Linked DNA regions of Drosophila melanogaster. The protein of the gene in region 2 purifies or fractionates together with the protein of the main gene of each other region. This does not show direct contact. Each region holds a gene or a part of one and is shown on either strand. Other genes may lie near its edges.

What was found.
Region 1: the proteins of brwl (region 2) and CG5727 purify together in Drosophila melanogaster (affinity purification with mass spectrometry, with the first as the bait; one large-scale study listed by BioGRID). This does not show direct contact.

What each region holds. Positions count from the first base shown.
Region 1 is NT_033779.5:10,209,268-10,212,753, forward strand, and holds CG5727 (uncharacterized protein), read right to left. Parts: upstream 1,415-3,486; 5' UTR 1,337-1,414; coding exon 958-1,336; intron 901-957; coding exon 728-900; 3' UTR 586-727; downstream 1-585. Other genes in the region: ath (athos), read left to right, coding at 2,155-2,996, 3,060-3,135, 3,201-3,486.
Region 2 is NT_033779.5:9,566,994-9,570,750, reverse strand, and holds the start of brwl (brickwall), read right to left. Parts: upstream 1,862-3,757; 5' UTR 1,553-1,861; intron 481-1,552; exon of another isoform or gene 1-480.

The sequences.
Region 1 (3,486 bases), 640 kb from region 2:
AGCCAGGAAGCTACTTTCAATTAATAACTAAAATATAACACTTAAACAGTTAATTATGAAGTTTGGATCATTTAAATTAATGTACATTTACACACTATCTGGCAAATTTGACTTGTTGTGAATTTCATACGTACGTACACTTAAAAGAAAAAAATAAACTAGTTTGTGCACAGAAATGTGTGGTACATACCAATGATTTCTATTTGTATATTTGCAGCGCAATTAAGTAATAGCGTTTTTCGCATTGGAGCCGGTTTTTTGGTAGCCAATGGTAGCTTATGTGAGCTGCAGCTTAAATCCTTCAGTATTTAATTAAACTAAATTAAAAAATTTATTTAACTCCGATCGGTTATTAAACCAATATTTAGTGTGAACTTCAGTTTAAGACGCATCAATGCCATTTTAGCCACTTAGATGGAACTCGAAAAGTAAATATTATGTGGCGGTGGCAAATGGAGACATTAAGAACTAAGGCACATAAATACGTATGCAAATGTATATATATACACAAAACAACATAAAAACCAGTTTCTTTTTATGAGAGTAAAGTGCTTTTAGTACTTGAGATGCGAGGGTTGAAGTTGTATATGTGATAAAGTGCTCATTTATTGTGTTTCTACCTTTACAACAATGCATTATATACGAAATAAACAAAAAATATATCAGTTTTGCTTACATTTTATTAAAACTTATTTACTATATATCTGGAATTTGTATATTTATTTGGCTAATAACCATCGATGAGCTTGGCTATGTTTTTGTCTCTAATAAACTGGCATTTCTGTTCGAATTGCTGTAACGATTCTTCCATCCTAAAGAACTCCGAATTAATCATTTTATTGTTTTTACGGATCTGATTCAGGAATATATCCATGGGCGAAGTGTCTTCCTCTGAGTGTACTGCAAAATACATATTATATTATATTATATTAACAATATATGATATATTATACAAACCTTCCTGATTTTGCTGCACGATAGCTGGGGTTCCACTTGAAATGGTGGATAGATTGGAACGTCCGATTTTCTCGCCACTTTCTACGAACTCAGCGATGGCGTTGCGGAATTTCTCGGGTATCAGAAATAGTCGATCAACATTTCCCTTTTTGTAACACAGATAGGCGCTCTTCATTTGAAACCATTTTCTGCGTATTTGGGTGGGCGACTTGTTTGGAAAACCCCTTTTTTTCATCTGATTGGCGATTTGGATGAAGGTGTACTGGGTGGTGCTGGTGGACAGGGCTCCCTGGCAGTTGTTCACCTCCTTAATCAGGTCGAGCATGCACTCTATTTCGGCGGAGACCCAAAAGTTTCGTTTCAGTTTCTCGGACTTCATGGTCTTGACAATATTTCTAAAAACAAATGTTTTTCAATCTCAAGTTTGTTGTTCTACGAAAATAGTGTGACCGGATCAAGAGAACTTTAAAATATGCGAAACGATAGAACATAAACGAAATTCGCCGCTGAAAAGCTAAAAGAAAAATTTGAAAACCAAAAATTATGTATTATGAATTAACGTATGTTAAATTATTTAAATTAAGTTGAGAGTAAGAATAACTTTTAAGTGCAATTTCCATAGAATATTTTGTCCTTATTTTAGAGAACAAAATAAAGGCACTGGTTAATTGTTTGATATTCGAGATTCGGACGAAATGTTTAAAAGTGGCTCGATTTCAAATAAATATTTTTTGAATTGTTAGTCCTTACTATGCATATTTTGCATTTGTAAACGATGCAGAGAAGTACAAAATTTCCCAAATAAACAAAAAAAAAAACAAATGAATTGTGTAGGATAACATAGAAGTTAATCATGTGAATTAAATTTTCTATTTGTTTTAAAATATTTTATAAACTAAAAAGGGGATTTTAGTATATACTTACACATACCATTTTCGCTGACGCTGGCAACCCTGCTGTATTTCGCACGCCTGTTGCTTTTCTTCTTTCGTCTGAAACTTTTATAAAAAATTCTCCGGGCTGGGGAACTAAAACTCTTAGGAAAATAAGTGGCACTGGTAGGCACTAACGACTAAACAATAATTTTATCTAAAAAAAATATATCAATGTTTTAGTGTATTAATCGAAGACAAAACCTTAACTTGAATGTGCTTGTTGACTTTTCTTCCAAAGAAACGTGCTGCGAAAGTGTAAATAATGGACTCCAAATACTTTGCAACCAGCAGAAACGATGCTGTAGGTCCATCGCCTGTGAAGTTCTCCTTCAAGCGGAAGTACGATGCCATGGCGAACAGTCCCATACTGGAGAAGAAACCCCATGTGGCCCAAATCAAGCAGACAATAGCTCCCATTCTGCTGACCAGCAAAAGAACCTCCATTGAACAGCAGCAAAAATCACTGCCTGTCTTTAATTGCCGCCATCGAATCCTCAAGGAACTGGAAGCGAACGACACCGTGCTAATCATGAGCGAGACGGGCTCGGGCAAGACCACACAGATACCACAGTTCCTGCTGCTGGCTGGTTACGCCAAGAACGGAATGATCGGAATCACCCAGCCGCGCAGAGTGGCGGCCATAACAGTGGCACGTCGCGTGGCCCAGGAGTTGAACGGAACCATTGGCGACACGGTGGGCTATACGGTGCGTTTCGAGGATGTCACCTCAAGGGCCACAAAGATTCGATTCCTTACCGACGGCGTTTTGCTGCGCGAGTCCATTAAGGATCGACTACTGCTCAAATATTCTGTGATTATTCTGGACGAGGCTCACGAGCGAACCGTGAACGCAGACCTACTATTCGGGATAGTCAAAGATGCTCAAAAGGAGAGGCGTAAGCAAAAGTTGGCCAACCTAAAGGTAGTGGTTACATCTGCCACGATGGATATCGATCACTTCGGAAATTACTTTAATTGCAAGGGCATGTACCTGGAGGGACGGACGTATCCGGTCCGTGTGATGCACACCAAGGAGGAGCACGAAGATTACATCCACACCGTGCTGGTTACCCTCTTTCACATACACCGCACCACTCCGAAAAAGTAGGTCTGATGATATATATATTTACACTTACTGATTTATATATATGTGTACATTTATTACAGCCACGACGTGTTGATATTCCTAACCGGGCAAGAGGAAATCGAGTCATTGGCCCAACAAATACGCCAGCTTGCCAAGGTGAGTCCATCGTCGTACAGCCCACAGATTGCACATCATTAAAAATAAGTTGCTCGCTATTTCAGATTGACACGACTGGAACAACAGATCTCCGCGTATTCACGTTGTATGCTCAGCTATCGCAGGGCAAGCAATTGGAGTGTTTTGTGCCGACACCGGCCAACGTACGCAAAGTAATCTTGGCCACAAATATAGCAGAAACGTCGATCACCATACCGGGCATCCGTTGTGTGATTGACTGTGGCTTTGTGAAGGAGAAATCGTTCAATACCGTCGACGGACTGGATGTCTTAAAGTCAGTTCGAATATCTAAGGCGCAAGCCTGGCAGAGAGCTGGACGAGCAGGTCGCG
Region 2 (3,757 bases):
TTGTTTCTGTTGCTGTTGCTGCTGGCGTCGAAAGCTGAAAGCTTTTGTCTGCTTCACTGATAACAGCAACAACAGCACAACTAAAGCAGCAGCAACAAAACAACAGTAACAACAACAACAGAATGCTTCAGCAACAACAGCAACACTCTGCTGCAGCAGCAGCAATTCAGTGCAGCAAGCAATGTTGTGTTGCAATATCCGAAAACATGTTGGCCAAAACCAAATCCGCTGAATAGTCACGAATATGTGTGCGAGTACCCACCGCACTCACTGCTCACTACTTGCAAACGATTCGCTCTCGCACCTGCGACTACCTGTTTCGATTCTAATCAGCCCACTCCACCTGTCCATTCACTCGACTGCCTACCCTTTTGCCGTCAGCCCCTTTCTATCGCGGCGACACTTGGGCCGCTCTTAAATCTCCGACAGTTTTCCCGCCACTTTCAGCACCTTTTGGGCCCACCAGTTTTGCAAAGCGAAAAACGTGCGCACAGTGGGATGGAAGTAATCGAAAAAGGGCATTACCAAAAGTATATCAAGGAAAAATATAATAACAATTTCCACATTGCTTGGAAACCTATTAGATGGTATTTTATATGTATATATATATTTTTTGGACATCTGTAAGTAAATCTCTGGAAAATCGTAGGTAATAATTCCCTTCAACTATTAATCTTAATATCAGGTTCAGAGTCCAATAAGTTTTCTATTTTTTCGGACATAAAAAAGTAGCAAGAGAAAACTCTAGCACTCTAAGCTGAACCAAACAAAAAATTAATATTGCTTTCCATTTTCGTAACACTTTGGTCCCACTGTGCGCTGGCAGCATTGTTGTGTTCTTTGGCCAGTCATCATTATTATCAGCGAACATCATTATCAAGGCGAACGTTGCTCGCGTGTTTTGGCTCTGCCCGTTGTTGTTTTTGTTAATGTTATTGTTGGATTGCTGTGTGCGGTGTGGGCGGGGGGAAAATGGAATGGAATGGGAATGGCGACTGGAAGGGGCAGAAAAACAACTAACCTGGGCTATATGGCAATATTTATTGTATTACGTCTATTTAACATAAACATATCAGCATGAGCGCGTACTAATTCCTTGAGAAATGTTCATGTTTATCTATTAACAACGGGGCTCAGCAAAAAGTACAGCAACGTACAAATCGAAAAACACAGAATCAGCAACAGCCAAACACAAAACCCAACGGAAAACAAAAACAACAACAAAAAAAAAGAATTTATTTCTAAAGCTAACAAAACACAGAAAACTTGCAGAAATACCCGGCCCGCTCTTTGTTTCCCTCCACCAACAAAAATACATACAGTATATTGTATATTCCGTGGCCCAATGACAGCAACAACAACAATCGCAATAACTTTGTTAGATAGACAACAACAACAACAACAATACACACAATACACACACACATTCACAGGCAATCGCACACAAGGAAACAATATGGCATATAGAATTTTTCTTTCTGCTGCTTATCAGGCTGTTATTGTTGCTGTTGTTCCTAACTTGTGATGTTGTTCCAAGCAAAGAATTCATTACCTTTTGGTTGGTATTCGTCGTTGGATTACAGAAAAACTCCTGTTGCAGAGGCGATTTCAAAACGCAACAACTCCTTGCTCGCAGCGATTTCAAAACGACACGATGCACGGCACACAAATAAAACGGCGCCAAAAATATTTTTGTTGCTGCTGCTGCTGCAGCGACCGACGACTGACGTAACGTTCAAAAATGTTGAATTCGAAAACTCGCGGTCGAGTCGACGGTGCACGGCGCTCGGGAATCGGCGGCGGACTGTTGGATTGTTGGCAATGTCGTATGTTTCGCGTACCAAGCGACCAAGGCGACTAAGCACACAGAGAAAAACACACAGACACAGCCACAAATGCGACTGCTGCCCTGCGAGAGCGAGCGGTGCACTGAGAGAAATAGAGTTGTCACTTGGCAATTGTGAAATGTAATATAAAGATGTTTTAAATTGGTAATGTATTATTAGCCCCAAACTTAATTAAAGGGAAAAATATAAAATTATTTGCAGACTTTATTAATGATCCATGTAAGCGGTATTAATTTAATAGTTATGAGGTTCAAACAAGTACCAATTAAACACGTATTCCCTCAGTGTATCAACCAGTATCTATCGGCTACGTAGAACACTGAAGCAACAGCAACAACATGACACGAGTGGACGGCGAGCAAACAGAGAACAACGCACACTCTCCGCCGCACACACACAGATACTAACACGGACACACACCAATGCGCCAATACAAACACACACAGCTGGCTGCTCAACAGCAGGGAACTTTTTATTGTTGTTGCTGGCAACGAACAACAAATAAGACAAACAATGCACACGCACACGAATGACGAGTGTTTTCGAGTCGGAGAAACGGCAACTGCGCGGTACGAAATGCAAAGATACAGATACAATGAGTTGGTTGTCGGTTGTGGAGGGTAGGAAAGGGACACAGGCCAACAAAAATAGTTGCACTGCATCAAGAGTGTTGCCTGTCGTTAGAGGCTAGTCACCCACCCCGAAAGGATCTCTCAAAGGATCAGCGGACTACTAGGTAATCCTGATCGAAATCGATTGATTCAAATGGATTTTCAAAAGATATATCATGTTCAAGATCTTTTTGTTGGGCAATACAATTTTTACATATGTATGTTGATTGTTATGTTGAATATAACTTCAGGCTTATTATTACTGTCTAATGGTAATGTTTCTATTTATTTCCACGTCCATTAACATGTATAATTGGTTTTCCCCAAAATATGTTAGTGAACAGGTGACAGTCGCAAATAGAAAATACACATTTTTTACGCTGTAACTCTGACAAAAAAAATAAAACACAGGAACCCAAATAGTTTACCTGAAAACTTACCTGCGAATTTCCAGTGATCATAATTCCATTGTGCGCTTCTTCTTCTTCTTTGCTCTAACTCTCAGGGAACATTGAAACAACAACAGTTGCTTACTCAGCACCGCACACAAACATAAACTGCGCTCTCACGGACACTACAACAGCTGTCGCTCTCAGAACCAACAACAAAGCGAGCAAACAAAAATCATGTTGTTGTTGCTCACAAAGCTTTGCAATTTCTCTGCCGCTAACATCGCTGCTTTTGTGTAGTTGTTGCTGCCGCCCGAGTTGCCAACAAGCTTTCCAACAACATTTGTTTACATTTCAAATTTATTAGGCGAGCTTTTCGGACATTTGAACAAGCTTCGTGGGCTACTCGCTAGGTGGCGCATGCTACTTCCGGTATAGATTTGAACAGCTATTTTTTTTAATTTACTTCAGAAATAAAATAAGCATTTATGCATATTTAAATATAAATAGATAAATATACCTGTTTCAGTTTCGTTAGAATGCACAATTTACTCTTGACTAAATGACTTCCGAGCAAACAAAATATTTAAACAATATTGTTAATAAAAAATAAGAAATGATTACTTAAGCTCTTACGTTTCCCTCCAACGGTCATTTGATATGTCATTATCCAAACACTCATATTGTTATTCACACGCGAAAAGCTCGACAAAGCTCAAAAGGACTCACTCCTTAGGCCAAAACTGTCAGGGTTTATGTATTCCGCCTGACAGCAGACCACCAACCCAGTTATTTCCAGCACTTTAACGATTTGTTTACAACTTTGTTGCCCTGCAATTTACCGCTAGCATACGGACCTGCCAGCCAGCCCAGCTTTTCACCCCTTTCCGACCGCTTGGAAAAGCTTTTC